4 linked regions of the Caenorhabditis elegans genome follow. The protein of the gene in region 1 interacts with the protein of each later gene in a biochemical or structural test. Each region holds a gene or a part of one and is shown on either strand. Other genes may lie near its edges. The genes, in order: lin-7, gst-22, eat-16 and snf-6.

The links.
Region 2: the proteins of lin-7 (region 1) and gst-22 form a complex in vitro, tested with the Caenorhabditis elegans proteins (one study listed by BioGRID).
Region 3: the proteins of lin-7 (region 1) and eat-16 form a complex in vitro, tested with the Caenorhabditis elegans proteins (one study listed by BioGRID).
Region 4: the proteins of lin-7 (region 1) and snf-6 form a complex in vitro, tested with the Caenorhabditis elegans proteins (one study listed by BioGRID).

What each region holds. Positions count from the first base shown.
Region 1 is NC_003280.10:14,345,298-14,351,124, reverse strand, and holds lin-7 (Protein lin-7 homolog), read left to right. Parts: upstream 1-2,332; coding exon 2,333-2,533; intron 2,534-3,051; coding exon 3,052-3,209; intron 3,210-3,268; coding exon 3,269-3,344; intron 3,345-3,768; coding exon 3,769-3,963; 3' UTR 3,964-5,281; downstream 5,282-5,827. Other genes in the region: agl-1 (Glycogen debranching enzyme), read left to right, coding at 1-248; elof-1 (Transcription elongation factor 1 homolog), read right to left, coding at 645-783, 833-948; Y54G11A.17 (L51_S25_CI-B8 domain-containing protein), read left to right, coding at 1,719-1,883, 1,930-2,139; Y54G11A.9 (Core domain-containing protein), read left to right, coding at 5,400-5,513, 5,827-5,827.
Region 2 is NC_003283.11:16,230,023-16,233,986, forward strand, and holds gst-22 (glutathione transferase), read right to left. Parts: upstream 2,261-3,964; 5' UTR 2,250-2,260; coding exon 2,090-2,249; intron 1,563-2,089; coding exon 1,066-1,562; 3' UTR 1,010-1,065; downstream 1-1,009. Other genes in the region: F21H7.12 (uncharacterized protein), read left to right, coding at 186-541, 766-976; F21H7.3 (Serpentine Receptor, class E (Epsilon)), read right to left, coding at 2,673-2,886, 2,935-3,233; clec-233 (C-type lectin domain-containing protein), read left to right, coding at 3,902-3,964.
Region 3 is NC_003279.8:9,720,332-9,726,864, forward strand, and holds eat-16 (Regulator of G-protein signaling 7), read left to right. Parts: upstream 1-2,389; 5' UTR 2,390-2,472; coding exon 2,473-2,493; intron 2,494-2,543; coding exon 2,544-2,663; intron 2,664-2,773; coding exon 2,774-2,857; intron 2,858-2,921; coding exon 2,922-3,015; intron 3,016-3,059; coding exon 3,060-3,138; intron 3,139-3,515; coding exon 3,516-3,812; intron 3,813-3,949; coding exon 3,950-4,063; intron 4,064-4,110; coding exon 4,111-4,621; intron 4,622-4,635; coding exon of another isoform or gene 4,636-4,649; exon of another isoform or gene 4,650-4,667; coding exon 4,668-4,753; intron 4,754-5,070; coding exon 5,071-5,086; 3' UTR 5,087-5,953; downstream 5,954-6,533. Other genes in the region: ocrl-1 (Rho-GAP domain-containing protein), read right to left, coding at 1-114, 241-369, 420-514.
Region 4 is NC_003281.10:1,529,508-1,534,973, forward strand, and holds the start of snf-6 (Sodium-dependent acetylcholine transporter), read right to left. Parts: upstream 3,321-5,466; 5' UTR 3,262-3,320; coding exon 3,163-3,261; intron 2,779-3,162; coding exon 2,685-2,778; intron 2,325-2,684; coding exon 2,265-2,324; intron 488-2,264; coding exon 312-487; intron 1-311. Other genes in the region: mtg-1 (CP-type G domain-containing protein), read left to right, coding at 4,386-4,434, 4,494-4,615, 4,796-4,917, 5,315-5,392. UniProt on the Caenorhabditis elegans protein: Mediates sodium-dependent uptake of acetylcholine at neuromuscular junctions during periods of increased synaptic activity, may also prevent spillover to adjacent synaptic sites.

The sequences.
Region 1 (5,827 bases):
GGTATTATCTCCAAGCTCGGCTGAGAATCGGTGATATCCTCGGAGGATCCGAAAAGCAGTATGCGATCCGGCAAGTCCAGGAGCGACTCGGCAATGCTTACAAGCACATCATTTCATCACCATGGAGGTCACTACCGGAACTGACAAATGCTGATGGAGAATACTGTATGCAGAGTTGTGCTGCCCAGGCGTGGTCCGTCGGTTGCCTGATTGAAGCATGTGTAAAACTTAATACTATCGAGGGATGATATTTTCCTTTTTTTTAGAATTCAGAATATTGCATGTATTTCCTTGTTGCATTTCTAGCTAACTTACCATTTTTGATTTTTAAGTTCAACTTTTTATATAGCTTTGAGCCAAAGAAATTTGAAACAAAATGATGAAAAATAAAGTATTGTACAAAAAATGGTGATGTGCTGATTTGGTTATTTACACACAAAAACGAGCTCGAGGATACCATTCTCGTGAGAATTGAAGGACCGGTTTTCGAGGCGTGCTGCAATGATGATCCAGAAAGTGTGTGGATGAATTGGGGATAGAAGGAAATAGAATTACTGAGAAAAGCAAAGAGATCAACGCGATGGGGATTTTGGAGGCTTATAAGGAGGTCGTATAAGAATTTAAGATTGACGGATGGGGAATATTCAGGCGTTATTTGCCTGCTCACAGGCATCCACCCAATCAGAATAGACGTCGATTGGCTCGGAGAGGTAGTTGATGTTTGTTTGGAAGTCTTCAGAGCAGACACGACACGAGATATAACCGACATTCTTTTCGCGATCCCTGGAAAATTATTACGTTTTTTTTTGAAACGATTTTCCTTAGAAAGTACATTTTCACTTCACAAACGCGTTCATGATTGCAAAACGGACAGTTGAATTGGGTGTCGAGTGGCATTACAGCCTTTGCCTTGGTTGGAGCCTTTCTCTTCGACTTTCGCTTTCCCATTGCTGCGGATTGTTTGGATTGGTTCTGAAAAACAATTATTAAGTTCGGGAAACGTAAAAAGAACAGAATATTTTTGCAGAAGGTAAAAATATGTTCCAATCTCGAAAAAAAAGTTCGAAAATTACATTTAAATTGCAAGAAAATATACTAATATACAAACCACTCAAAAATGCGACACTCAGAAATACTATATTGTTTTTTTCTGTATTCTAAAAACTATAACGTATGCACAATGTGAAAATTTTTCGTGAGTGTCGGCTTGAAATTCCACATTTTTGGACTTCAAATTCACAAAATTTTTTGAATCATCAGGTTTTATATGGAAAATTTACCTATTTTGACACAAAACATAATATTTCTATCATATAAAAACGGCAAAAATCCGGCAAAAAGTAACACGAAAAACAGCCAAAAAAGAAATTTCGAAACAAAATTGGCGCGAGGAAGACAGTTAGATGCGCAGGTTTTCTCGACTACGGTCTGCAGTACACGTTGCGTACTGCGTACAAAAAATGTTGACCGTAGTCTCCAAAACAATTAAGCATTTATCGGACTTTCCGGAGCAGGATTTATTCATTTTATGCTTAAAATTAAACATTTCTCAATATTTTATCAATAAATTAAATGAGAAAATTGTTTAAATCGTTAAAAAGCATTAAATAATGCTGAAAAACGTTAATTTTCAATAAAATATCTTTCTAGTGATGCAATGCAACTCAAAATTATAATTTAACAATTAAAATTATCTAAATTCAAATTTAAATATTCAGATGGGCCTCAAGGGATTCACCGGTAGTTTTCAACAAATTCGCGGACTTCTACGACCACCAAAGAATCTCCCGTTCCGTGGAATTTTCCGGAAAGACGGAGAAGTTGTGCGAAAAGACGATTTGCTGGTGAATCAATTCAAAATGAATTATCATCCAGGGTTAAATGTAAGATTTATTATCAAATATCTTTGATTATTGAGAAGTTATTCAGGTTTACTATGAAAACGATCGCGGAGAACGTCTTCTGCGTGCCCATTGCGACGGAATCGTTCGTATCTCCCAGGAAAAATGCGATCCGGACTATGAAATTGAGGAGATGAAGGGATACGAGTATAGGAAAGACGTGGATTTGTACAAAATGACGTTCAATGTGATTCCGCTGGAATTGTCTCAGAAGCACACGCTGCGACATGAAATTTAAATTTAATTTTTTGTCGATTTTTTTTTTGGTTTTGTTGTGTTTAATAATTTTCTGACGGGCTATGGTCAATTAGAATAGTAAATAATGTTTTTCCGCTCTGGATAGCTTAATTTTGTAATTTTTAATTGGTTTTCTTGCCATTTTTACCTATTTCCGTCCTATTTTTCCCCTCCTTTCCAACCAAATCTTCCAGATGGATAACCCGGATGGTCCGAATTTGGAGCGGGACGTTCAGCGTATTCTAGAGCTCATGGAGCACGTTCAGAAGACTGGAGAGGTCAATAATGCAAAATTGGCATCGCTGCAGCAGGTGCTACAATCCGAATTTTTCGGTGCCGTCCGAGAGGTCTATGAGACTGTTTATGAATCAATTGATGCGGATACAACGCCAGAGGTTCAGTTTTTTTTGATAAAACTGACAAAAATGCCGGAATTGAAATTTCCGGCAAATCGGCATATTGCCGGAATTCAAATTCCTGGAAAATCGGCTTATTGTCGGAATTGATAATTCCGGCAAATTGGCAAACTGTCCGAATTAATACTTCCGCCATATCTGCAAATTGTGGTTTTGCACATTTTTTTTGGAATTTTCAAAATTTAAATTTTAAAAAATTCAAAAAGGCACAGTTTTAAGTGTTTCCGTATAATGAAAATCCCTACAAAAAATTCCGGAAAATCGGTAGTTCGGCGAAAATCAAAATTTTCGGCAAATCGGCAAATTGCCGGAAATGCAAATTATGGCAAATCGGCAATTTGCCGAATTTGGCAAAAAAAAAGCCGAGCGACAATTGCCGCCAACCTTGATAATTAAAAGTTGTCGAAATTTCAAATTGTAGTTTTTTTATTTTTCGAAATAATTTTGAGCCGTTTTTGAACAACAGAAAACAAAAAAAAACACTAAACATTTTTCAGATAAAAGCCGCCGCAACAGCTAAAGCAACAGTGGCGGCGTTTGCTGCAGCCGAAGGCCACGCGCATCCACGTATCGTTGAGCTCCCAAAAACCGATCAAGGGCTTGGATTCAATGTTATGGGCGGCAAGGAGCAAAATTCACCGATTTACATCTCCAGGTGCAGATATAAAAATATTTAATGATTTTATAATTTAAAAAAAACGATTTGAATTGCAGAATAATCCCTGGTGGCGTAGCCGACAGACACGGAGGTCTCAAACGAGGCGATCAACTTATTGCGGTCAACGGAGTGGTGGGTTAAATGTTTAATTCAATTTTTTTTTAGTTTTTTTCGGAAAAAAAACATCGAAAAATATTGATTTTTCAATGTTTTTCAATGAAAAAAAAATCTAAAAATTCATTTTTTTAAGCAAAAAACGAAACTTACTTTAATTTAAGTGTTTTTTTATCGAAGATTTCAGATTTTTAGTGTTTTTCAGAAAATAAACCGGAAAAAAGTAAAGGAACCAGTAATAAAAGACAGAATTTTTCGGTTTACGAAGATTTCCATATAAAAGAACATTATAAATTTTTCTTAATATTTTTTTTCGAAAAAATGAACAATTTATTCTCATTTTTTAAAATTGAAAACAACTACACTTTTAATTAGTAGAAGAATATAACTCGAATTAGAAAAAAAACTTTGATTCAAAAAAATAACTTTAAAAAAATTTCAGAACGTGGAAGCCGAATGCCACGAAAAAGCAGTTGATCTTCTGAAATCCGCAGTCGGAAGTGTAAAGCTAGTGATCCGTTATATGCCGAAACTCCTGGATGAAATGGAGCGGAGATTCGAAAGACAGAGAATTCGATCCACTCAGCAGAGTCCAACACTCCCGACGCCGTCTTCTTCGACAAATCCACGAAGATAAAAAAGACGGAACATTTGTAGAAATCAAGAATTCGAGAATTTTTGGAAAAAATACGAAAAAAGCCACAACAAAACTAAATGTTACGGGAACACTAAATTTCGAGAATGCGTACTGCGCAACATAATTGACGCGCAAAATATCTCGTAGCGAAAACTACAGTAACTCTTTAAAATATTACTGTAGCGCTTGTTTCGATTTACGGACATCATTTATTAATCGATGAAATATCGAAAGAAAACACAAAAAAAAGACAACAAAAAAACAAACAAAAAAATATATTTTTATTTTTTATACAAATTTGTGTTCGAATTGGTTTTTCGTTTTTTTTTTTGTTGTCTTTTTTATGTTTTCAAATGATGTCCGTAAATCGACACCAGCGCTACAGTAGTACTTTATAAAATTACTGTGGTTTTCTCTTCGAGATATTTTGCGCGTCAATTATGTTGTGCAATACGCATTCATGTGCTCCCGTAATATAGATAATGGACATTAAAACAATATTTCTAAAATTTTTGCATCAAAATGTTTTGAGGCCCCACGAAAAGGGGAGCAAAACGAAAAGGGGATCTGCAAAAAGGGGATCTGCAAAAAGGGGATCTGCGAAAAGGGGAGATACGAAAAGGGGAGCAACGAAAAGGGGAGCTGGCACTGTGCCAAACGCACAAAACGCAATTTTTCTCACGCAACGCACGTTGATTTTTGAAATTTTCTTCTAGAAGATACGCTTAACAACACGCGACGCGTAACATCGGAGCATCGTTGTATCGTTTTCTTCGAGAAAAATAGCGCTTGGCACAGTGCCAGATCCCCTTTTCGTTGCTCCCCTTTTCGTATCTCCCCTTTTCGCAGATCCCCTTTTTGCAGATCCCCTTTTCGTTCTGCTCCCCTTTTCGTGTGGCCTCAATGTTTTACTGCAAGAGTTCGCATTTTTCTGCAAACATTGATTAGTTTAGCCGAGAAAATAGAACTTTTGTAGCAATATTGAAAGATCTTTTCTTGAAACTGAAATTTTCGCTGAAAAGTTTGCATTTTCCACCATAAAATCCCTATTTTTTCTATTTTTTTCCAGTTCATGTATACTCATTTCTAACTTCTTCTCTTCTATTCTTTGTTCTAGATTTTTAGATATCCCTATATGTACATTATTATCTCTTTTTCCGTTTTCAGACAAATTTCCAAAACAATGTTAATCTCAACACTCACCCTCTCCCCAAATTATTGCCCAAAAATTGCTTTAATAATCTTGCTTTGCCTTACGTTCTTTCAAATAGGTGCTTTTCTCCATGTATCTTTAATAACTAAATTTTTAAAATAATTTTTTTTCATTTTTCGGCATTTTTAAAAAAATATTTTCCATGTTTCAAAAATCACGAAAATCTATCTTTTTGATGTAAAATTCAACTTTTTTCAGATTTTTTTTTCAGAATTTTCTCGAAATGCTCACACAAAAAATCGGCAGACTAATGGCTTGTACAGTAACCCGACAGGCTCATCGGATGCTCACCGAGCAAGAGATTAAAGTGACGAATAAGGCAGCGAGCAGGCTTAAAGTTAGTCTGTCCTTGGGCGCCCAATTTTTTTGAAAATTAGAAATATTGTAAATGGAAAAACGAGAAATTTCGATTTTCCAGTTTTTTTTTTCGGAAAAAAATCGGCACTTTCCTATTTTTCAAAGTTTTTCAAAGCATTTAATTTCCGGTGTTTTTTTTACAAAAAAATTGTATACTTTTGATTTGTAGTGCTTTTCAGAGAAACCCCGATTTTCAAAAAAGAAAGTTAAAAAATTTTGTGAATATTGTTCGAAAATTCAATTTTTTTCAATGACTAGAAAAAAACCTTAATTTAAAAAATTAATTCTTCAAGG
Region 2 (3,964 bases), on another chromosome or scaffold:
AAATGTAGAGTAGCGAGTAGTTAAAAGAAAAGAAAATCAAAACAAAACAGAAATGATGATGTGATAAGATCACAAGAAAACGATAATAAGGCAAATAACACAAAATTGATTTAAACTTGTTTTTTTTTTCGTTGCTATCACCTGTTTACGTACCTATGTCTCTCAATTTTTGTTAATTTCAGAATATGATTGAGCCAAATGAACATGTTTCCAAAAAAAGTGCAGTTTGTTTTCTCACTGCATCAATTATAATCTCCGCTATTATCCCATTATTTTTTATAATTATTGGAACATTTAACATATTCTCTTGTTCTTCACCAATACTCCCTCTGTGGCTGATCGGAATTGCTATTTTGATAATTATCGAGAGAGTGGTATCTTGGAGGATTTTGATAAGCGAAACTCAATTTGAAAATGAAAATCCCATTCCGAAAACTGACGACTTGAAGCAGATAAAGTCCTGGGAGAAGAGTCGAATGGAAAATACTTCGAAGTGGTTGATTCTCGGGAAGAATAACTTGAGAATTTTGATGTTTGTTGGGTAAGTTTTTGAAGCATTCAGGAACAAACTTGTGTGCCTGCCTACTCGCCTACTTAGCGCCTAAAAACATGTGATATTTTATGGTTTCGTACATTTACATTTCGCAGCGCCCGACAATATTCGGGTTCGACGCCGTACAATTTTCAAAGCGCAGTTTCAATTTGCTAAGAGCAGGCGATAGGCAGGCAAATAGGCGAGCCAAATTCTTTTGTTTTTTTTTTCAGAATAATCTGCGGCACCCTCGAAAGTTACGACAGACTCATACATTCCGACTATCAATGCAGCATAATTGTTCCAATTTCTGTTTTTGTTTTTAGCATTGTTACTTGCATTGTTTACCTATTCTCAATTGTTGGGTCAATTTATATTTGGTGTGTCTCTGGCTTGACTAAGCTTGACCGCTGGACAAAATCATCACTACATCAGGTTTTGTAAAGTGAAACGCAAATAAATATACAGAACGCAAATAAATTTTTAAAACTATTTTATTGCATCATTATTTTTTCTTTCACAAAAAAAACAATTCACACAAGCGTCACTGGTCTTGTCTCGATGTAATCTTTCAACTCGGTAAGATTAAATATTTTCTCCTGGAATTTTCTCAAAGTTAAATGAATTGGATCTTCTGGATCAAGTTCCTTGAGATTCGTCAGAGTATACAAATGATCAGCCACCACCAGATCTGCCCAAGTCAATCCATCTCCAACAAGGAAACCCGATTTGTTCTCTTTAAGAATTCGAGTCAATATTTTGAACATTAAGTTTTTTGCTGGAATGTAAACTTTGTCATGAATTTGCTTCACTTCTTCCATTGTTTTTCCAGTTTTCACGGCATCACGGTAGGGATGGAGTGACGCGTAGTACTCATTAAACTGATCAACGATAGAATCAGCAAAAGCCTCGTCTTCCGGTGTTTTTCCAGCGTAGCCAAACTTTCTAGCCAGATAACGATGAATTGCAGAAGATTGAGCAAGATCAAAACCGTCGATGGAAAGAACTGTGAATCGGCCAAATGGGGTCTCTGAAAACAATGTAATTTTTTGATTGTCTGGTTAGCAAAATTCTTTCAGCTAAAATTGTCAAATTGTCAAAAGTTATTTTTAAATTTCAAAAAGTTTCTTGAGTTTCCTGGAAGCTTCTTGAAGTCATCAAAAATTGTCTGAAGGTTCCAAAAATTTCCTCAAATTTCCAAATGTTTTTATTCCAGAATTACCATGACATCTCCTTGAAATCAAAAATTGCATGACTATCCAGAAGTTTTCAGAAAGTGTCAAGAAGTCTCATGAAATTTCAAAAATTTCTAGGAGTTTCTTGAAAACTCCATAAATATCCAGATGATTCTAAAATTATTTTAAGTTTTCAAGAAGTTTCCCGAAATGTTCAGAAAAATCGAGAAAATCACAAAAATTTATCGGTTTTTCCACAACTTTCCAAACCTTTCCTAGCAAAACTTTTTTCTGATTGAATATGAATTTTCCGCCGAAAAGTGGAAGGGCTCATGTTTCTTTAAAGGTGGACTATGCTCAGTGGGCTATTAGTTTGACTCACTGTCTTTCAACGCTGAAAATTCGTCACTTTGAAATCCCGGAACAGCATTGATCGTCGGCAGTCGAACATCCTCATATGGTACCCCACCAAGATGGAATAACATTCGTGCTGACTCTCCAAACCCACAAGCATCAAAGTAAGTCAGTTTGTAAGAGGGCATATTTTATTTGTGAAGTTAGTTGAATCAATAAAGAATTTATACCTTTACCAACCTTTATCGATGACTCTTATCGCGATTGCAACTTTTCCCCTTATCGCAAAAAACTGCAGAGACAGTTCAAAATGTGGAGGTATTATGTGAATATTAAGAAATCATTGCATGATTCATACCTCTATTAAATGAAATCATGATTTTATTATATTTTATTGGTTTACATATGAAGACTGTACTAATGGGTGATACTGTCTGTACGATCTTCAGAAATTTTTTTATGGATTTTTAGCAGAAAACGAGAGCTGTGATTGAACAAAAAAAACTATTCCTTTTGTTTTTGTTAAAAATTAAGTGTTATTTTTAATTGCTTGTAAAAACAATGTCATGTCGGCAAAACAGATGCATTTTCAAATTATACAATATGTTAAATTATAGAATATAACTATACAACCACATTGTAACTTTTCTATCAAACTTTGCTTTACAATTCATGCAAAATATATAAATAGTCCCTATCAAGGAGACTATATAAGTTATGGAAGCAATAATACAAAATCCGGAAACCGAGAAAAGAACAGAAGATTTGCATAAATAAATCGGTCGGCCGAGTTGTTCATAGCTCCAAATAGCTCCAAGGGCAACCCTGAAACTTTTCTAGTTTTTAGACATTTGTAAATTTGAAATCAATTACGCTATTAACATGACTCCTTCCAACGCATATTTTATTGATATCCACCAAAAATTTTCGAACCAGTTTTTCTTTCTTCCATCTTGCGGAACATCCTCCATGAGTTTCTTCACTTTATTGAATAGAATTTTCCAATAAATAATTCTATCAATAATAATTAAAATACCAACAAAAATAAGCCATAATGGAAGAAGCGGGTTCTCACATTTTCCTTGGTTTTTAAAGCCGATTGATAGGAACCATATTGGAATAATAAGGAAGAATAAGTTCAAAATTACCAAGTAACAAATATGGTGTGTCATGGTCGAAGAGAAAAGTTGAAAATAGGTTGAATTAGTTGTGTCAAATTGTTATCAAATAGAGTGGTATCAATCACTTCCTCAGTCCCTGTGTTCGCGGAACTTTTGAATGAGTGAGAAAGAGAGAGAGAGAAAAGAAGAGAAACCAAATTTTAGTCACAGATTACACTAAAGTAAGAGATGAATAATGTATGTTAAGTGTACTGGCATTGACCTACGGGATTAAACTATCAGGATTTGTAACTTATTCTAACCCATGTCAATGTTCTGAGACTTACATATCTGCCCGCGCTTTCTTCATTTCGAGTCACCAACATCCTATATACCGTGAGAAATACATTCAATATAGTTCAAATGTGAATACAACACTCCAAGAGTTAACATTTTGTTTTAAAGTATTAACTGTTTTACCTTTCTCCTTCGGCACAAAAATCCTGTGAAATCTGGAGACAGCTCAGAAGAACATCGACATAGAAAAAGGCTCTAAGACCCCCGCTCTAGTGAAAGTAGATGGCTTGAGTTCAAGAGACCTAATGGTTTTAAACTGTAATTAATTTTCTTCTTCAAGTTCACTGCAAAATTATTTTGAAAAACATTTTAATTGTAAGATGCAAACTAAACTCAAATATGTTAACCACAATTTTCTGTTTTTTTACAATCCCGGTTTGGTGATGCCGTTTTATTATATTTTTTATTACCAACCGCCTGTTTCCTACAAAAAGCAAGAGTTTCTG
Region 3 (6,533 bases), on another chromosome or scaffold:
TTGAATTGCGTTCGTCCTCCTGGTAAAGAACAGTGAATCGCATCAACCCATCCTTCCATTTTCTTTGTATTGTCAATTATATAAGTTCCAACGGAAAGATCCATTTCTTGAAGACTGAAATTTTTAGTGGATTGAATACTTTAGCGTGTTTGTTTTTTAAAAATTCATTACTACTTTTTCCTTATCAAGAATACTTCCTTATCAATGAATATACTTCATAAACAAGCATGTAAAACTCACCCAACAGCATAAAATTCTGCGATATCCTCGGGTTTTTGAGAAAACCATGTGGGGAAAACTGACAATGGGCTTCTTCCATTCACATTAAATGTTGAAACACAAATTTTGACATCTTGAAAGGTGCAGAATCTGTAAAAAGGTAATTAAAATATTAGTTTAAGATTTTCAGAATAGTTTACTTATGCATCCATTCTCTCATAACTTCATCAACTTTTGCATCTCTTCCTTCTATCCAATTACATCGTTGTTTCGTGTAAAACGTCGTCGTCGCCATCGTCACTTTGTTTCGAAAGAGACGTTTTACGTCTTTGACGACGCTTCTCTTCCGATTTTCTCTGAAATAAAACCAAAATTGGCATTTTTATTTCAAAAAAAACTATCTTTAACGATAAGAAAACTACAGAGCCAAGCTAAATGGTAGTAAAATCAGGAAAAAAGTAAAACGTGATGAACAAATACGATGTGACCGTCTAGTTGTCTCGTCACTCTCCTATTGCCAGTTCTCTCTATCTCTCTTTAGTGTGCAAACACCGAATTGAACACCGTATCCATCAACACATTTCGAACCTATTCAGTTTTCCCAGCAATATAATACACAGTTTATGGGTTGTTTATATTCAAGTTTCTCCGTCTTTTTCTATTGGAAATGAAAGATGATAACTCTGCGAGCGAAAAGATGATCGGAGGTCGATTCGCATGAATTTCCCATCGGAAAATTGAAAATCAGTATTGATTGAAACAGGAAGAACCACAAACGAATGTGTTAATTTATCACTCTTTATTATGACGATTTGTTCTGAATCTGGAACATAAAACTCTGATTAATAAAACCAATAAATTTATTATTTTATTTATTCCGCAATTACTTTCTTTTTTTTTTTGATTTGACAACCCAAATTATATTTTGGAAATTCTATTGAACTTTCTATTTATTTTCTAATCAACGTCGAAAACCGGTAGATCCTGCTGTGATGCCTAAATTCTGTACAGATTTCTCAAAATTTTTAGCAGATTTTAAGCGGATTTTAAGCGGATTTGAGATTTTCCCAAATTTTTTTTAAGTACTGAAAATTTCAAAGAGAATCAGCAATCGACGGAAGAATGTTGATCCATTTGCAGAAGAAAACCGAGCAGTCAAATATCCCAAAAGATTACTGAAACTATTGTGTAATCAATTTTCAATGCCCTGAACGAATATTAAAATCAGAATCAAAGATCGTTGACAATGTTCGCAATAGTTGAAATACGAAACAATCAACCCGTTTTTCACTTTTTTGACATTTTTTCTCCAAAAAAAAAGCTAGATGAGGGGAAGAGTAGAAAGTAGTAGTATCCTTCGCCTACCACCACTACCAAAAAGCAACACACACCATATACATGTTGAAGAGACTGAGATGTTAAAGGGAAAAGAAGAAGAAGCTCGTTGTCGCTGTCGTCGTCTTCGAAGCCGTAGCACATCGAAATTGAATAAAAGGGGAAAGAAGTGGACACAAGAGACGCAGAAGAATGAGAAGAAGCCTGGAATACTGCTTCTACTGCTGATTGTGACAACTCGAGACGACGAGATCGATCCGTGAAGTGAAAAGAAGGAGAAGCAGCAGCAGTAGCAGCACACGCACACACTCACTCACGCATCTCTGACACACACATGCACACACATAGAGGGCTCTCGAAGCCCTCTCGGAGCCACAGAGTAATTGAGAGAGTGAGAGACGTTAGACTGCTCGATTATTGGAAATCATTGGGCTGTAGGGGACCCGGCGACTAGGCAGAGAAGGGAAGGCGCCGCTCTCGTCGCCTGCGCTATTGACTTTGCCTGTCTGCGTTTGAATTCAGGAAGACAGCTTCGTCGTATGTCTCACATTCTCACTCAAAATCCACACTCACACACACACGCGCACAAACCCTCACTCTCCTCACCCGCTCACATATACACACATAAGCACCCCCTCGCCCCCCTCTCCGCCCACCACGCACCACAGCAGTCCCCCATCCCCGGAGAAGAAAGAAATAGAGAACGAGAGAGTCAGAGAACTAGAGATCTAAGCATTTTGGCCTTACTATTTTATTATTTTTCATTCCTATCATCTCCATCATCGTTTACTGATCTGCAACCGTATGATACAGTTCTCAAATATTCAATTTGCAGATTATTATTCTAATATTTAATTCAAAAATATCAAAAGCTGTCGAGCTGATTGAGACACGCTGCTCTCAAACCCCGCATTTTGTATGATGCCACCGTTGACCAAGGTATTTCATTTGAAGTTCAATTTTCTTAAAATTTCTTTTGAAAATTTTAGATCGAGGTGCTCGCGAAGCGAGTGATGGAAGGTGCGCAATTGAAAACGCATAAATACTTCCGGATCGCCGTGCCTCATGCCATCACCGGTCAGCAATTGATAGCTCTCGTTCTTGAGCGAGTGAGTTTACTTTCCTCTCAAATACAGCAGGAGCACTTATTTGAAAACTTATAAAGCTTCTGACAAGAAAATCACAAAAATTATGAAAATAAATTTTTAATTTTTAACAGGGTGCTCCTGACGATGAGGCTGAAGCGAGTCATCTGGCAAGTTTGTTACTTCACCACGGTTACATGTTTCCAGTTATCGAACATGTAAGTTAAAGACTGCAGTTTTTCAGTGTTTAACTTAAGTATTTTAAATTAAAAATTAATTCAGGGCCAACCTTTCAAAGACGATGGAACGTTATACAGGCTTCAAAGGCCGTATTTTTGGCCTTCACAGGCTGAACTGGTTCCGGATGTTGAATATGGTAATTCCAAGAAAAGTTATTGTATCTGATCCACTATATTTCAGCCATTTACCTCAACAAGCGATTGCTCCGAAATGAGCAAAAACACGGGTTAGAAGAAGATGAAGTTGAGTCATTCAACAGGTATGGGACATTATTTCGGACATTAGGAAAAATTATTTAGTCAGAAAATATTGAACAATCCTCACGACTTAGAAATAAATTGGTAAAGCTTCGCCAAGAAATCTTACTGAGATCACGAAAAATGTCAAAGTGTACAGAGATTAGTTTTGGCATTTTTATGATTTCAGTTTTGGAGTCGAAAGCTATTATTTTTAACCTTTTAAAAATTGGGTTTTTAATTTTTTGAACGTGCATCGCTGCAGAATGAAAAATCGAAATAATAATTTAATTTTTTTTAGATTATTGAGTTATCTTTCTCGAAATCTGAAAGTTATCTCTGGTGATAGAAAAGTATTTTGAATTTTCAATACATATGGCATTCAAAAATAAATTTTCAGACTTGCCGATGTTCTCGCACACATGTGGGCTTTCATCGTTCAACAGTCTGAGCTTCAATTGAAGCAGCAAAAAGAAAAAAAGAAAGTGGACAAGGTAGTGTTCGATTCAGAAGAACGAGCGTTTTGGAAGATACGAAAACCAAGTCGTGGTGGACCAAATTTCCTAGAGGACCCTTATATGAAAATAGAAAAGAAAATACGACGGCAGAATGCACAAGGTTATAGATGTCTTATGGATCGATTACGATTTGCAATCAAGACAAAGCCATGGCTAAAAGCATTAAAAGCATCGGATACGTGAGTATATTCAATCCAATTGTAAACTTTTCCTAGCTGAATCGAATCAAAATATGTATTATTAAGATTGAATTTCGAACTGATAATGGATCAGATATCAAAAGACAATAGATTCAATTAAATAATTCGTGTTTCAGAATGGTGACGTGGGTTGACCAAAGAGCTGAATTCGATCCATTCCTTCACCCTCCACAACCATCCAATCCATGGATCAGTGATGAAGCTTCATTTTGGAATCAGCCTACTGACACGTAAATTATTATTTAATCTTTAATCTTTATTGCAAATACTTTTTCAGGTCAAGTGCCGAGATCCCTACCGAGAAACGGGTAAAACGATGGGGACTTTCTGTTCAAGAGCTTGTGAAAGATCCTATAGGACGGCAAGTGCTCGAAACATTTTTAGAATCCGAATTTTCGTCGGAAAATATACGGTTCTGGATAGCGATACAAGATTTGAAATATGCACCGAATGAGCAGATATACCAGAAAGCTGAAAGAATACGAGAAGAATTTTTGGCTCAAGGAGCACCTGCACAAGTAAATGTAGACAATAGAACCCTCGATCAGACATTGGAGTGTATTTCGAAAGCGAAAGATGCTTCACAAATGAGATTCGCATTCTATCATTCTGAAGAGCACGTGTTCACATTGATGGCAAAGGATTCATATCCACGTTTCGTCCGATCCCAAATCTACAAAGCAGTATTGACAGCAGCGCAACAGCACGGAACAAAGCGACTCGGGTGGCGCAACTTCGTATTCAACATGGGTACAACTAAAAAACCAGCAACGAGTAAACCAGCAAAGGCAAGATTTTCCAGGAAATTATGTATGAAAACTTTGATATCTTCAGCCGCAAGATTCCATCGGGACTGGTCAAGTTCTCCCAAAACAGCTATCGTCCGACTCGCTGCCAGTTCGACAGGCTCATGGGGTCAAGTAAGTTGTGGAAATATGTCAGAAAAATCTATTAAAATGGGACAATCCTACCACACGAACAATTAACTCCAAAACTGTTAAATTTATATATTAGTTAAGCTTTTGTTCAAATAGGATAAACTGGCGATATACACCTTTAAATATCGGCTAGTTTTTTTTGAGTTAGTATTCCCAATCATTTTTTCTGTAACCTGTTGGTGCTTAAATCTCCTGTCTTGGCAGTTGCCATGAGATTTTTTGGCCAAAGACTAATGACTCAAATCCATCAAAGCTAAACTCATGACCTACTCTCTTCAGCTCATTTCTTTATTTTGCAGACCGGATCCCGAATGACGTCATTCTCTTCTCACATCTCGTTTCTCTTTTCTGCGTGTACGTACGTGTCTGCGTCTCTCTGTATATTCTTTTTCACTTTTCCCTCTTCTTTCTCAAAAAAAAAACCAAATCAAATAACGACCATCAAAAAGGGAAATCAGTATCCTCTGCATCGGTTTTACACGCAAATTTAAATATTTCGAAGCGAACCATTTGATATGTGTATTATCAATGAACTTCTTCTCAAAATTAACAATCTCGAACCACCCAACACTGCATATTTTGACCTTATTTTCTCTTCCAAATCGATCGATAATACATGTAATTCCACAGTCTCTTCAGACTCTTCTAGTCCATCATAATCCACATCTCCTGCCAGCTTCTTCTTCATTTTCACGATATACTAATTTGTAATCCTATTTTCTCACAAAAACGTGTACAAAGTGTTATATTTCTTTCTATTACCCATATTATTTTAATCTTTTCAGAAAATCAATTTTTGTTTCCCTCATTCATTTCACACAGAGTTCTCCTGCTTTTTTGGCACACTTCTCGTTTTTTTTTCAAAATTTTAAAAGTATCTGTAAGGTACCGCTAGCGTATTTAGGTGTTTCAACCTAACTTTTTTCAATTATATCTACTCAAAAATAATTTGATTTGAAAATGGTAATTCGCACCAAAAATGACGATATCATAACGTCTCAGTTCTTTTTTTTTCCAAAAATCATATATAAATTTCATTTTCTCTTACCCTCTACCTGGTGTGATTGTCTCAAAAAAATCAACTTTCAGAACCGGAGTTGTTACATAATATATTATTAATGTGTCAGTATATCATTATTTTCAGCTTTTTGTAGGCGTTGATGTTCAATAAAATTATTTATTCTTATTTTTATGTCTGTGTTACACCTTAATATATATTCGAAACTATGGGGAACTCTGGGAATAAGAAACACAAGGAAAGGGTTTTTTGAAGAATAAAAATTTCTTATATTACATAGATGTCTGAAGATGAAAATTTTGCGGGAAAAAACAACCAAAATGTGCTACGACACGGGAAATTTTTGGAACAATAGAGATTTTGAATAAATTTACAGAATACCGATTATGAGCACGAACGGATTCCGCAACGGATCACCCAAAATCAAACAGTGGGAAAAGGTTTTAGTTCACTTCCATTAATAAAATTGTCTGGATATATCTAATCTTCCAATTTACAGAAAATCCAATATGTATTAAAAATTCACAACGAAAACCCGGGGACCCGGGGAAAACTATTGATTTATCAAAATTATGTTGATTTTTCGAAGAGAAAAAATATAAATAATTTCTTTTTTTTTAAATTGAACCTTTTCCCCGGAAAAATCAAAAAACAGACACCATTTTTTTGGTACTATAATTTCAAGTTTTAAACTGGTAAGAATAATCACACAGCAGGTGAAAATGCCTTCAGCCTGAAAGCTTT
Region 4 (5,466 bases), on another chromosome or scaffold:
TATGACTGAAAATGTGAATAAATACAGTTTTTATGCCAGAAATCTGCGTAGGAGCACAAAAGTCACTCTGAAAGAGAATGTTCATGTAATTTTGGGATATAAAATTTCCTTTTTATTTTTTTTTCAAATCTAGAAGATTTAATAGTGAGGATTGCTGAGGAGAGTGCAAATTTTCAAATAAATATTTTTTTTGGCGAAAAAACATTTTTTTTTCTCTTCGAATTCAAACTTTTCACAATTTGCAGAGCTTCCGGATAATTTCCACCCAAAAAATTCAAATTTCCCACTTAAAACCCGCCAAAATTTCTCACCTTAAACAACGGAACCACCTTCCAAACACTAATCGCAGCCGACGAGGAGAACTGTCCAAGTACCATTTCCATAAAGAACATTGGTAGTGAGGCGAGGCATAACATACATAAATATGGTACAAGGAATGCTGCACCGCCATGTTGGAATACTAGAAATGGGAATTTCCAGAAACTTCCTGCAAAGGAAGAGAAAATTGTAAAAAAATTAAAAATTTTCCAAAAAAAAAAATTTCTTTTCAAGATTTTCCAGAAATTTTCGCGATTTTTCACTGGGAAATTCAAATTTTTCGTTAAAATCTTACAAAAAAAAATTCCTAATTGAAAAAATTTGAATTTCGAGGGGGGTACGGTAGCTTCGAAAGTACGCAAACACCGAATTTTGCGAAATTTCGCACAATTTGGCTGAAAAAACAGTCACCGGGGTGAAAATTTGCGGGGAATTTGAATTTTCGCATGAAAATGCTGGAAAAATATATTGAAAGTTGGAAATTTTAATTTTTTGTTGATAAAAACGTTTTTTTTTCGAACTTTCCAGGAAATTTCAGGAATTTTCACATTGAAGTTCGAATTCTCCGGTTTATTTTGCCGCTATTGGACTTTTTTCCCAAAAGCCAGTTTGAAATTTGAATTTCGAGGAGTACGGTAGCCCCAAAAGTACGCAAACACCTGCTAGGCACCGAACCTTACGACAATTAGTCCAAATTGGCTGAAAATCGGGTTACGGGGGTGAAAATTGATGGAGAAGCCGAATTTCGTAATGAAAAACTGTGAAAATCACTGGAAAAAAAAAAATGAAAAACACGAGTTTTCGGGAAAATAGAAAATTTGGGCATAGCTTCCGCATCTCCGAGTGACAAATGTGCTCTATTGTCAAATTGTTGGCAGAAATACGGTATTTATTCACATTTTCAGCCAATTTAAGGCTGAAAATGTGAATAAATACAGTTTTTATGTCATCAATACGAGTAGAAGCACATAAGTCACGAAAATATCGATTTTTAGAAGATTTTAGGGATTTAAACCGAAATTTTTGTGATTTTCCAGTTAAAAATGTTTTTATTTTCATTATTTGAACCAAAAACTCCAAAAAAAAAATCGATAAACATGGCTAGGAACCATCATTTTCAGATTGGTGGCCTAGAACCCCCGAAAGTTAGGCCATCAATCTATTTTGTTCGAAAAAAAACCAATTTAGGGTAAAAATGAGTGGAAAACTCAATTTCCAACTGAAAATTTGAAAAAAATTACTAGAAATGTGAGATTTTCGCTTTTCAAATCATTTAGACCCAATAAATGACAATTTAAACTTTTTTTTCCAAAATTTTGGTGTTGAAATTCGTTTTTAGAAGAAAAAACTATAAAAAATCAATAGAAAAGTTAATTTTTTTGGAAAAAATAAAGCAAGTGCGCTCTATTGAGAAATTACTGAAAATTCGATTTTTTCACTGATTTTGTCTGGTTTCAACGTGAAAAATGCGTTGAAAAATTGAAATTTCGAGTTTTTTTTGCAGAAAAATCGATATTTTATCCATTTTTCCACTGAAAATCCCAAAAATATCCAATGTTTCACCAAAAAAAAATCCCCCAAAACAAGAGATGTTAGAACTTTAGAACACACACACTCTCTTATCAATTTATAATCTTATCAATTTCTCGCACGTACTCATTTCGTATGGTCAGATTATTATCTGCTGATATCGTGGACTTTGGCCCCTGTTTTCGCCGAAAAATCGTAAAAATTCCGGATTTCTGGCCTAAAAATTAGGGAAAATTATTGGTTTTTTCCATGAAAAAGCAGTTAAAAATTGCTATTTTCATCAATTTGATGCGAAAAAACTTCAAAAAGCCCCCAGAAAATCAACGTTTTTACAAGAAAAACAACGACACTCCGCTAGTACACCAACGCGTGTTGTTTAGCGGTTTGGCGGGAATTCAAATTTCTCGCTTTCTTACCAACTCCCGCTGTGAAACCAATTACTGCTAGCAGATAATCCGACTTGTTACTCCAATTTCCTGAAAAAATTTTTTTTTTCACAAAAATTTTTTTTGTTGGTATTTTAGCATTTTTCAATAAAAATTTTGGTTTTTATGGATTTTTTCACACAAATTCGTGTTTTTCACGTCTCCAGCTTCAAAATGACCCCCATCATGCCCTGTTTCCGTGCAATTTGAAAAATTCGGGTCTCGCCACGCGGGGTACTGTAGCACCGGTTTCAGCTGTGTCGAAACTACAAAAGCTCAAAATCAACGTATTCTGGTCATGTTGGGGGTCATTCAAAAGCTGCTGACGTGGCGAATTCAATGAAAACAGTTTGGTGGCCGAGTTTTGGATTTGAAGGCCACCAAATCGAAAAACGTGGATTTTTGTCGCACCTCGTATCCTATTTTCGTCTCCGACACCCGTAATCTCTTCGAATGGATATTCGATGTCACCTTCTCGTGTGTAATCGGGCAATTTTGCGTCGAGCTTGAAAAATTTCAGGGTTTTTTTTGCGAAAAAATCAGTTTTTTCCCTAAAAACTCAAAATTCTCGCTGAAATCTTTAACAAAATGGCGGGAATTGGTCGTTTCCCGCCGTAGATCAAACGGAAATTTGAATTCCCGCCGACCGCGTGGAGCAAGTGCGCTCCAGCGGACTAGTGGCGGGGAATTTGATTTTATTTATTTTTTCGGCAATTTTTCAGCAAATTCAATGATTTTATTGGTTTTAGGACAAAAATTAGTGGAAATTTTCATCAAATTTTGTGGTTTTTTTGGAATTTTTCACAAAAAATCGATAATCATCCAAATTTTTCGGGAAAAACGTCAAAATTATCCGTTTTTCTCGAATTTTCCGAATTTTTCCACAAACCTGCTTAATAAACGGAGGATATAGGCTCATATCCACGTTGTTTCCGCTTGCCATGCCCCGTCCATTCCTCTGCTCCGGATCGTTGCTCGAAACCGACATTTTCGGTGTGGAAAAACTCGGTTTTTCTTGGAAAAATCGATTTTTCGTCGGTTTAAAACCTGAAAATTAGCAATTTTCACGATTTTTTGAGCTATTTAGCAAGAGATTGCGAAGAAAAATACGAATTTTAGAGTAAAAACGAAAGAGAAACGAGGCGACGCGGCGGCCCGTTGTTACACAAATTTCGGAAGCAGTTGGCTCGCCCGAATTGAAAACATACGTGAAAAGCCGGGGAAAACGAATGAAAAAGTGAGAAATTGTGGGAAAATGTGGGAAAAATTAGTTTATTTCAGGAAAAAATTGGCTATAAATCGGTTTTAATGAGTTTTTAGCTGAAAATCAATAATTTTCGGGTCAAATTTTAGATTTTTGGGGTCAAAATGCTGCAACTCACTTCCAGAATTCAATTTTAATTATAAAAATCGAAAATTTTAATGAAAAATTTACGTTTTTCACGAAAAACCGCTCTGGAAAATAAAAATGTTCCAGGTTGCCAATGCAAACGCGCTCCATTGAGAAATCGCTTGTTGGCGGGTGTTTGAAATGGAAATTCTGATGAAATAAATTAAATTGGGTTTGGAAGCATCTTTGTTGGTTGAATAAAGCATTTATTATGAAAGAAATAAGATTTAAACAAAAAAAAACCATTTTTACAGAGAAAATACCAGAAAACACCGGAAATTGTTAGTTTTTTTTTGAATTTTTCAGGAGAATACCAACATTTTAAAACTAATACCGGTGCAAACCGAAAATCCACTAGAAAAACTCTAAAAATCACGAAGACTCCAAAAATCACAGTTTTTCTTGAAATCAAGTTTTTCTCGAAAAATCTATATTTCTCTGGGGAGTAATTTGTGTAGTTTTTGGTGTCAAAATGCGGCTAAAAACATTTTCTGTTTGTTTTTCGCATTTTCAATTGTAAAAAATCCCTTAAAAATGGTGAAAATTAGGATTTTCCAAAGTTATTAAAAATTGACTCTGCAATTGCGCTCCATTGCTACGCATGAGAGAGCAGAGACGCAGAGTACGAATCATGCAATTTCAGGTTATTTTTTGATTTTTTACAGGAAAAAATTGTTTTCACAATTTTTTCTCAATTTTTTTTCAAATTCCAGTTAAAAAATATGAATTTTCGTCGATTTCTGCACACAACATATCGAATTTCCACTCCAGGTACCCGAAAACCCCATTATTTACTCAGTTTTCCGCGCGGAAATCGCAATTCTTTTCAGAATTTCGCCAACAATTCGAACTTCCCGCGCAATATGACTATCGGCAGTGGTTTCCAATGCATATGTCCGTACAATTGAAAAAAATGGAAGCGAAATTGCGATCCGTCGACTTGATAATTGAGGTTTTGCATGGAAAATGGAACTTTTACGATTTTTTTTTTGGAAAATCTGTAAAATCACCGGAAAAACGCTGAAAAACCGAAAAACTGGTGTAAAAAACTGGTGTAAGAATTTTAGTGAATTTTTCCGCCTATAAAAGTTGAAAAATCGGGAAATATTGCAAAAATCGACATTTTTTCCAGGTCCACGACGCCAGAATCCCGATTACCGGCCGAAATCAGCAGTTTTTTCGACATTTATACGCTATTCGACCGCATATTCTCGTCCTGAACAAGTGTGACTTGATAGATATGAAGAAATACAAGTGAGAACCCGGAAAAATTCGAAAAAATCCGGAAAAAACGCTTGAAAAATCAAGATTTTCAGAATTTCTCCGAAAAATTTTGGATTTTTTCGACGAAATTCGGCTTTTTCTCAACGAATTTAGTCAAAAATTGCGATTTTCCGACAAAAATCCACTTTAATCACCTAAAAATTTGAATTCCCGCCGACCGCGCAGTGCAAGTGCGCTCCAGTGGACTAGTGGCGGGAAATTCGAATTTTTGGCTATTTTAGCGCGATTTTTTGCACTTTTTTAACGATTTCTGGGTGAAATTCGACCGGATTTTTATAAAAAATGAAGAAAAATCGATTCTTTTTACCTTTTTTTCGGAAAAAACGCTGTAAAATCCGAAATTTTCTCAAAAATTCCCCATTTTCAGGCACCAAATCGAGGATTATTACTACGAGCGGGGCGTTCAAAAAGTTTTATTCACAGACTGCAAAAAACGGCTTCCAAGGTGATTTTGGAGCTGAAAAATTCAGAAAAATGCATAAAAATTCTGAAAAATGCATAAAAATTCAGAAAAATGCA